Linked DNA regions of Arabidopsis thaliana. The protein of the gene in region 1 purifies or fractionates together with the protein of each later gene. This does not show direct contact. Each region holds a gene or a part of one and is shown in the gene's direction. Other genes may lie near its edges. The genes, in order: ATS9 and RPT5A.

Region 1 (4,987 bases):
TTATTATAGATTAAGGTTTCTTAAAGAGAAAAGTTATATATGTTCAACCTCTACTCTTCAAAATAACAGATTCAGCTGAAGACATTTGTTTCTAGTCAATTTGTTTTTGGAATTTTTCTTAATTCAAAGAAAATTGTGCAAAAGCTTTCATGTGCGGCTCAGATTAATTAGTCATTTACTACTAATAAAACTTTCACTTTGGGGTCTAGTAGATAATTCTCCACCCCCATTGAATCTTTTTAGTGGAGGTCTAAACATACATAAGATTCTATAGATTGACATTTGGGAAACCATCCTCATACAAAAAAGACCTAAACGGAATCTATGAAGAATTATTAACAGAAAAGAAAAACAGATGGCAATGAGAAAAGATCGGGTTCAAGGAAAACACAGCCGTACAAAACTCAAGAACAAAAACACCAAAAATAAACAAAAAAACTTCCAAAAATAGATATAGAATCACATGGTTTTGTTGTTTTGTCTATTTGTTCTCTATAAAAGGAGATATTTGGTTGGATCTATCATAGCGTCTCCTCTCAACCAAAGCTTACAATTTGTTCTCCCTTAAAAACTAAATTTTACAAATAAACTCTCAAATCCAAGAGAGGAGAAGACCGAAGTAAAAACACAAGAAAAAAAAGGATTAAGGCATAATGGCCAAATTCTTCATTGTCTTCCTTGCCTCTGCCCTATGTTTCACCACCCTCGTTCACTTCACCGCAGCTGATGCCGACGACTTTGACAAATTCCACATCAAGGGCTCCGTCTACTGCGACACATGCCGTGTCCAATTCATCACCCGTATCAGCAAATTTCTCGAGGGTAATTAACCACATTCTCTAATCAAATTCATTTGTTGAGCATACTGTCAATAGCAAAATATATTGGTTGATAAAAAATCGATCCCATTATGGTATATAGGTCAATGGTTAGAATTGTGTAGTAAAAATTCACAAAAATGATTACAAGCATATATAGACGTCTTTTTAACAATGTTAAAATTTTATAAAAATGTGGTTAGTCACATTTCTAAGAGTTAGTGTTGCAAGATTATAAGAAAAACTAATTACGTTATTGTGTGTATATCAGGGGCAAAGGTAAAGCTTGAGTGCAAGGGTCGTGAGAACCAGACAGTGACCCTAACCAAAGAAGCCGTGACCGACAACGCCGGTAACTACCAGATGGAAGTAATGGGTGACCACGAAGAGGAAGTGTGCGAGATCGTCCTCCTCCAATCACCTGACCCAGAGTGTGGAGACGTGAACAACCAAGAATTCCTAAGAAACGCAGCCAGAATCAGTCTCACGGCCAATGATGGCATTGTCTCCAACGAGACTCGAACCATTAACCCACTTGGGTTCATGAGGAAGACTCCTCTCGCTGAATGCCCTCAAGTTTTCAAGGAGCTTGGAATCGTCCCTGACGTCACCTTCTAAGCTTAATATACATATATACACACCCATATACATCGATCTCTCAAAGTCTCAACACTTTCAATTTTTTTGATGACTCTTTTTAATATATAAAACATTTATTTATGTTTTTTATGTGTCTGTCTGAGTTTACTAATTAACCATGTTTTTTTTTCGTTGTTATTGTTTTATTTTTGGGAGTTCTTTTTTACGAATGATTTGATTACCTTCCAATATTTATTTGTTACTTTTCGATTGAACAGATACATGCATGATGTAGTGAAAAACCCTACTCTAAAATAAATTTAAATCATTTACATGCATAGTGAAATTTATGACAGTTTGAGAAAGCTACATATGTAACATATAATGTGAATTATAGTTTGAGGTAAATGACTCAAACTGAAATAAGCAAAAGACAACAAATAAAATCGAACCCTTACCTAAAGAAGGCGGATCAGAGTTTTGTATATATTGGGCCTTTAGTCTGAGCCACTAGGCCTGAATCACAAAACGCGTTTTCACGACAAGCGTTTGCACCAGGATCTTTTGCAGCGTCTGGCGTTGGTTTTCAAACTCTGAATCCGAAACGCTAGATTTTAAGACGCCGAATTTGTTAAGCGTTCTCTATTTCCTGATTTCAGCATCTAAAGACAAATATACCCTTCAAAAAATTGTAAAACTACGAGAAGACTGTCCATTTATCTTTTCTTTCAAGCCAAAAAAAACTCTCGAATCTTCTTCTTCTTATTTCTTCTATACCGTCGTCGAAAAGCTTTACCAAAATCTCACGCCCCCGACGATTCATCGGTAAGTCTTGTTCTTGCGAAATTTCATTAATTCTTCTTCTGGGTTTGCTTATCAGATCTGCTTAATTCTGGGTTTTGGTATGCGTATTGTTTTCGATGTTTTAAAAAACCACATCTGGTTCCTTGTCTCGATAGTTCTAGGGTTTAGCTTTCTTCGATTTAGTTGATCTCAGTGAAGATGGGCCCGAGGATGTTCTAATTCTGATTGAAAGAAGCTGAATACAAAATTAAATAGATCTTAAAAGTATTTGAGTCGAAGAATTCGAACTGAATAAGTTAGTAATTACTGAACTATGTCTCTGTGATTCATCTTATTACTTAAAAATTAGGTTATAGTTTCATAGGCTTTGTAATTCAGTTCCTGTATTACTTATTGTAGCCTCGTTGTATCTTTGTCTTTGATAGATCTCTAGGCTTGTCTTGATCATTAGGTACAGAAGAGTTGATAAATTACAGTGATAAATTACCATCGTGGCTTGTCTTTATCTGATTATCTTGGTAATGTATCGAAGATGGATTTGTTTTTGTAGTGATGTGAAACCTAAAGAGTATCAATAAGCTTGAAAGGAGAAATATTTGAACATTGCATTAACAGGTCTATGGCTTTATTGTTGCAGGGATTTGAGTTTGCACTAAACCCACAATGGTTTCCTATCGTGCTACCACAGAGACGATTTCCCTGGCTTTAGAAGCCAACAGCTCGGAGGCTATTACGATACTGTACCAGGTTTTGGAAGACCCTTCTTCATCTCCTGAGGCTATACGGATCAAGGAGCAAGCGATTACAAACCTTTGTGATCGATTGACTGAAGAGAAGAGAGGTGAGGATCTCCGGAAACTGTTGACCAAGTTGAGGCCTTTCTTTTCCTTAATCCCCAAGGCGAAAACTGCGAAAATCGTCAGAGGAATCATTGATGCTGTGGCAAAGATTCCTGGAACAACTGATCTCCAGATCACTCTCTGCAAAGAGATGGTCGAATGGACCCGCGCTGAGAAGCGTACTTTCCTCAGGCAGCGAGTAGAGGCTAGGCTTGCAGCTCTTTTGATGGAGAACAAGGAGTATGTTGAAGCTTTGGCGTTGTTGAGTACTTTGGTAAAAGAGGTTAGGAGATTAGATGATAAGCTCCTTCTGGTCGACATAGACTTGCTGGAGAGCAAACTTCACTTCTCATTGAGAAACTTACCCAAGGCAAAAGCTGCACTCACTGCAGCTAGGACAGCTGCTAACGCTATATATGTCCCACCAGCTCAACAAGGCACGATAGATCTGCAGAGTGGGATTCTTCATGCTGAAGAGAAAGACTACAAAACCGGATACAGTTACTTCTTTGAAGCCTTTGAGTCCTTCAACGCTCTCGGAGATCCGAGAGCGGTTTTCAGTTTGAAGTACATGTTACTGTGCAAGATCATGGTTAGCCAAGCTGATGATGTTGCAGGAATAATCTCCTCAAAGGCTGGACTACAGTACGTTGGCCCTGACCTGGATGCCATGAAAGCAGTCGCTGATGCTCACTCGAAGAGGTCCTTGAAGTTGTTTGAGAACGCACTCCGTGACTACAAAGCACAGCTTGAAGATGACCCAATTGTCCACAGGCATCTCTCTTCTCTCTATGACACGCTTCTGGAGCAAAATCTGTGTCGTTTGATCGAGCCCTTCTCAAGAGTTGAGATAGCTCACATTGCTGAGCTCATTGGATTGCCGCTCGACCATGTGGAAAAGAAGCTATCTCAGATGATACTCGACAAGAAATTTGCAGGTACCTTGGATCAAGGAGCTGGATGCCTCATCATCTTCGAAGACCCAAAGGCAGATGCTATCTACTCGGCTACCCTCGAAACCATTGCAAACATGGGGAAGGTCGTCGACAGCCTTTATGTCCGGTCTGCCAAAATCATGTCCTGAGAGAGTGAGTGAGTTGGTCGTATGAATCTCATTCTATCGTTCTTTCTTTCTGGTTTTAGATATCGTTTGGACTCAAAGAAACTGATGTTTCTCAATGGAGAAAGTAAACTTGTCTGAATTGTTCACATTACTCGTTTTGCTTATGATCTTATTATGTCATGGTTTCTTACCTTTTATTAGTGCTTAAAATGTAGTTTGTTTTCATCTGGTTGTTGCAGTTTCTTTTTCTTAGCCTCGCAAGTCAACATTGTGTTCTCTTTTTCCAAAACCTTTAATCTTTACCTCATCCAAATCTCATTGATTTTTCTATCTCCGCATTTATAAATTCTGACCAACCCAGAACTCAATTCACAGGACCCACCATTTCTTTTCTCAACTCAGGACATGACTTGCACACAAGCAAGTCTTGATTTTGTTCTCTTCTTCTGTCATATTCTTTTATGTGCTGCTTCATCACAGTAGCTTTTCTAGTTAGCTTCGTGATTATTGATGAAGTAAACAAATTCTGTTAAAACGTTTATTTTAAATGTTAACACTAAAATGTGACATACTACAGTCATCCACAAAAATGTTGATAAGGCATATATTTTCACAAATCATAATATTTCGTTAAGATTTAAGACATTTTTTTGGCTGTTTGAAAAGGTTATTTATCATTAGTGGTTTACTGGTCTTTTATTGGAAGGACAAACATTTAGAGTGTTCCAATATTTGTTCAATTTCTTCTTCATAAACAGTAAAAACCTTATTCTAGTTATGTAGGTATCCCATTATTGTGTGATTGTCAGTTTATAGCTGAAAAGTGAAAACTTAAATGTCCAATTGAATGAGGTTTCTTCTTGGTTGAAAGATTAACTAGACTA
Region 2 (5,343 bases), on another chromosome or scaffold:
TGTAGTGATAATCTAATCACGTTTGTTTTTAATGATAATGCGTTGTCCCCATCCTTGTTCTTAATTCAATTGTCAATCACCTCCATTAATTTTGTGTTCACCTCGGTTAGAAAGCTTTGTTTTAATTTGTTAAGACGATGCTGATATATCCTGAATCATGATTAAATTAAAATCCTTAAGTTAAAGTCATTACAAAAACCACTTTTGAATATTGATCAGATATTGGTCCCATGCCCAAAACGATGGTGCAAAATGTCTAAAGAGTGATAAGCTAGCAATTACTAGATATATACTAAAAGAAATAGTTTCAGTTCCAAGCATGAGCACTAGTCATAGTTGAGGCTCACAAATTTCTTGCAAATCATCTTCGAGTTTTCCACGTCCAGAGATGGTCTCCTTCCTCCTGATACACACACAAACAACTAAGTATCTTCCATCGTCTAAAAATAAACAAAAGCATACGTAATTACCCATTTCCTCCACCTTCTTATTTATAATCAAGTTGAACAATTTTCAAATCATCCAAGACACAATCATTTATTAAATATTGATATATGCAATGACAAAATATCCAAAAGTATTGACTTCAATGACATTCAATTTTTGCTATTTTTTTATTTTTTTGTACGAATAGTCTTCAGATCTTTTTCAGTTGATGTCAATCCAAACTTTAATCATGAGTCTATCACAATATTGTTGAAGTACATAAAACAAGGAATTGATTTATTTATAATCGAGTTAGGAAAATTTTAAACTACAAACATAACATAGTTACACAGAATTGTATCAAAATATCATTATTGTTGTTATATGTATTCATTTAGTGAAAAAATATTAAAATCTTATAAATAATTAGCTTTATAGACAAAATATATAAATTGATATTTCAAATCACAAATGAATCTAACCATAAAAATTATCACTACATATTATGGATCTAATTTTATTAATAATACAAAAATAAACAAATAATAAATATAAATTAGCATAAAGAACAATCAATGTAATTTTTTTTTAACAATTTTTAAAACAAACCCACGCGTAGCGTGGGTAGTCATCTAATACAAATATAATTTTACCTGATTTCATAATCGCATATTGCTGACTTTGGACGTCTTCAGTGATCACTTTCATCCTCCTGCTTTTTCGCCTCAGATCTAGCCGAATGATACTGCACAATAAATGTGATCCCTATGGGAATCACTACTCTTGAAATTGCATACATCCCGCCAACTCCCGTGAACGTCATCGTTTTGCTATATGAAGATGGCTCCACTATCACAACCAATGCTGACTTAGCTACAAAAAAAGCTTGTTTAATGCTACTACTTTTCTGTTGTTGATTATTGTTTTTTTTAGATTCCGAGGCATTACTTGTCATTTATGATTGAGTTTTGAGCATATATATGTTTACTTAACGCTCGAATATATGACAAGAATTTGTAAAGGTTTATGATGTTTTAATGAATTTTGGTTTTCTTTTAAATTTCGGATGAGAGACATAAATAAAACAGCATTTCTAATAAAGTTTGTTTTTTTGGAAGAAATCTTTCTGTTGCAGTTCTTGTGATTAAGGTTCTTGCAATTTCAAGAGTAGATTTAGACATTCATAATTGGAATGTAAATCTGAAAGCTATAGTCAGGGGGGTTTAAATTGTCTTATATTGAGTTAGTTCGAGAGAATGTGGAAGACTCTAACTCGTTCAGAGGTTTTCCCCTATGCATTTCTTTGAAGACAAGTTTTCCTAAGAAAACTCTTTTTTATTTTTAATAGCTAATATAATTTACTTTTTTCTTTTTGGTTATTTATTTTCTCTCGTCTTCTCTCCTTATTGGTTTTTTTTCTCTCATAGTCGCTCTCCCTCTCCTCTCCCTTTGAGAAATCCCTAACTCTTTGCTCTTCTCTTCCCGGCGATCTATCTCTCCGATTTGGGTATTGAAATGGCAACTCCTATGGTTGAAGATACGTCAAGCTTCGAAGAGGATCAGCTTGCTTCCATGTCCACCGAAGATATCACTAGAGCTACTCGTCTTCTCGACAACGAGATTCGAATTCTCAAGGTTTGCCCTATATCTCTCTCGATCTCCTTTGCCTTTATATCGTTCTCCATGATTGTATCTTCTTAAATTGGTTTCATCAATCGCTTTAATTCCAGTAAGGTCAGGCTCGAATCTGGTTTCGATTTTTCGCGATTACGGGTTTAGGGTTTGAGTTTCGTGTAATCCGTGGAAGCAGGAGATGAACTAGACCTTTAATTTTATGACCCTTCTTGTGATTTCTTCGTGTGTTTTCAAAGTTTGGATTTTTCAACTCAACTGAGATTGATTGAATTGAAAAGCTACGTCTTTCTTGTTGCAAATTGGATATGTTGAAATTGCTCATCTTGTGTTTTTCTTTGATGGGGATTTAGGAAGACGCGCAAAGAACAAATCTAGAATGTGATTCTTACAAGGAGAAGATTAAGGAGAATCAGGAGAAGATTAAACTCAACAAGCAGCTGCCTTACTTGGTTGGCAACATTGTCGAGGTATTCAACTAGTTTTCTTATCTTATTTTTGGTATTTTCCTACAGAGTCTTACCTATTTGATTTGAATTCTAACTGTTGTGTTACCATATCATGCTATTAGATTTTGGAGATGAATCCAGAAGATGATGCTGAGGAAGATGGTGCAAATATTGATCTTGACTCGCAACGGAAAGGAAAATGTGTTGTGTTGAAAACGTCTACACGGCAGGTGAGACTTCCAAACCCATTCTTTAGATATGTTTTCTACATCTTCTCTTCCGTTTCCCGTTTCATGTCTGAGCAAATACTTTTGTTTTCGTTATGTGGACTGCAGACCATCTTTCTACCAGTTGTTGGACTCGTGGATCCTGATAGTTTGAAACCTGGTGACTTGGTTGGAGTTAACAAAGATAGCTACTTGATTTTGGATACCTTGCCATCCGAGTATGACTCTAGGGTTAAAGCCATGGAGGTCGATGAAAAACCAACTGAAGATTACAATGACATTGGAGGACTAGAGAAGCAGGTATGTTTATACCATTGTGTTAATCTGCTGTATTGACTTTGCTTCGTAGTGAAACTAATTGAGTTTATTTCTGGAACAGATCCAAGAGCTTGTAGAGGCAATTGTGCTTCCCATGACGCACAAGGAACGTTTTGAGAAGCTGGGTGTTCGTCCACCAAAGGGAGTGCTCTTGTATGGTCCCCCAGGGACTGGTAAAACTTTAATGGCTCGTGCCTGCGCAGCACAGACCAATGCCACCTTCCTTAAATTGGCAGGCCCTCAATTGGTCCAGGTATATATATATATATATATATATATATATATGAGTATCAGATTCAATTCTCATCTCTTAGAACTCTTTACCCTGTCTGGATATAAGATTTTAGTGTTCTGGCAACAATAATTACATGTGACGAGCTATAATGATACTTGATTGTAATGACATGATGACATATCCAATTTATATACAGATGTTCATTGGAGACGGAGCAAAGCTTGTCCGTGATGCCTTTCAACTTGCCAAAGAGAAAGCTCCGTGCATTATCTTCATAGATGAAATCGATGCCATTGGTACAAAGCGTTTCGACAGGTACAAATCTTTTTCTGATTCCAATTCATGTATTTCTGCACTTTCTCAGCTATTTGCTCAAATCACATTCTTTGGTTGAGAGTACAGTGAAGTCAGCGGAGACAGGGAAGTGCAGAGGACTATGTTGGAGTTGCTCAATCAACTTGACGGATTCAGTAGCGATGAACGTATTAAGGTGAGTGTCTTTATCCATTCTAAGGACTAATCATACTGGTCTTAAAAATCGTTCTCAAAGAAACAGTAACAACCATACCTTTCTATTTTTTCAGGTGATTGCAGCTACTAACCGTGCAGATATTCTGGACCCAGCACTCATGCGTTCTGGTCGATTAGACAGAAAGATTGAGTTCCCACACCCAACCGAAGAAGCGAGAGCAAGAATCTTGCAGGTTTGTCTCTCCCATTTTTCAAACATGACCCTTGGTGATAAGTAAAAGGCTCTCATAACACAACTAACCCAACTGAATGAATCCAGATTCACTCAAGGAAGATGAATGTCCACCCAGACGTCAACTTTGAGGAGCTTGCACGATCAACAGATGATTTCAATGGAGCTCAGCTGAAAGCAGTGTGTGTAGAGGCAGGCATGTTAGCTCTTCGCCGTGATGCCACAGAGGTAAAAAAGACAGAACTCTTAATGATTTGAGCTTTATGATTGTGTAGTTTGGTCTGTTTTTTAAGGTGGGGTTCTCTGTTGTTGTGTTTGTGTGTTCAGGTGAACCATGAAGACTTCAATGAAGGTATCATCCAAGTCCAGGCCAAGAAGAAAGCAAGCTTGAACTACTACGCCTGATCTCTCTCTCTCATCATTTATTTTTATCAATGCCGTTTATCTTTCAACTAGTTTTACTTGTACCCTCATTCCGATTTGGATCTTTTTAAGTTTTCGAATCAGGATCATCTATTATATCAAAATACATTTAATTGTGTTCATCTTCTTCTGAAAACAAGTTTGGAAATTTAGAAATCTTAGTATCTCTATAGTATTGGTTCATGGTATATAGACCTATTCTAAAATTATGTTTTCTTTCAGAAATTTTTAAGAGAATTCACTTATCAATCTCTAATATTTTGTATATATCATAGTATTTTGAACGTATATCAAGTGAATTTTTAAAACTAATCAGGCCTTTTTCGTTGCACTAATCCTTTCAAGCTCTCAATTTAAGGAAATTGCATAAAAGTTAACTTCACTTGAAATAGAAAAATCTCTCAAGATTAACCAAAAGTACTAACAAAAAGTAAAACTCCAAAATAAAAAAATAAAATCTGTAGCTTTGAAGTATTCAGCACTTGATCTCTTTCAAGCCGTAGGCCAAGTAGAGAAAAGTAGGATCAGTGGCTCCTTCTCTGTAGTAAGCAAACACTAAGCTCCCTTCTTCTCCTTCCATGCTCTCTCCCACGAAGCTGTCACATTCGTTGAAAATAATTCACCAATTAGACAAAATTAACTTCAAAAAAAAAATAGAAGAAAGAAGATAAAAGAGAAGAGCTTACAATTGGAAGTCTTTGAGCTTTGACATCAAGAATTTGGTGGCACTCTCAATGTGTTTCTTGAACAGCTCTTGGTTTTCTGAGTCCAACTTAGGGCTTAGTTGCTTGATGTATCTTTTCATAAACATCACAAATTGTTTCTTGTCAAACGATGGTTGCTCCTGCCAGAACATCGCATATAAATACCCAAAAGTTAATCTCAAACTTGTCCCAAATTAGTTTGTTTCTTGCGCTCAAAGAAAAGAAG

Evidence for each region.
Region 2: the proteins of ATS9 (region 1) and RPT5A purify together in Arabidopsis thaliana (affinity purification with western blotting; 2 studies listed by BioGRID, with this or other methods). This does not show direct contact.

Annotation. Positions count from the first base shown.
Region 1 is NC_003070.9:10,178,376-10,183,362, forward strand, and holds ATS9 (non-ATPase subunit 9), read left to right. Parts: upstream 1-1,926; 5' UTR 1,927-2,222; intron 2,223-2,223; exon of another isoform or gene 2,224-2,496; intron 2,497-2,838; 5' UTR 2,839-2,864; coding exon 2,865-4,124; 3' UTR 4,125-4,413; downstream 4,414-4,987. Other genes in the region: AT1G29140 (Pollen Ole e 1 allergen and extensin family protein), read left to right, coding at 654-822, 1,090-1,436. UniProt on the Arabidopsis thaliana protein: Component of the lid subcomplex of the 26S proteasome, a multiprotein complex involved in the ATP-dependent degradation of ubiquitinated proteins. In the complex, RPN6A is required for proteasome assembly.
Region 2 is NC_003074.8:1,601,599-1,606,941, forward strand, and holds RPT5A (regulatory particle triple-A ATPase 5A), read left to right. Parts: upstream 1-1,760; 5' UTR 1,761-1,941; coding exon 1,942-2,061; intron 2,062-2,411; coding exon 2,412-2,528; intron 2,529-2,629; coding exon 2,630-2,737; intron 2,738-2,842; coding exon 2,843-3,034; intron 3,035-3,113; coding exon 3,114-3,305; intron 3,306-3,483; coding exon 3,484-3,602; intron 3,603-3,689; coding exon 3,690-3,777; intron 3,778-3,871; coding exon 3,872-3,991; intron 3,992-4,077; coding exon 4,078-4,218; intron 4,219-4,317; coding exon 4,318-4,395; 3' UTR 4,396-4,645; downstream 4,646-5,343. Other genes in the region: AT3G05540 (Methionine sulfoxide reductase (MSS4-like) family protein), read right to left, coding at 4,889-5,009, 5,100-5,257. UniProt on the Arabidopsis thaliana protein: The 26S proteasome is involved in the ATP-dependent degradation of ubiquitinated proteins. The regulatory (or ATPase) complex confers ATP dependency and substrate specificity to the 26S complex.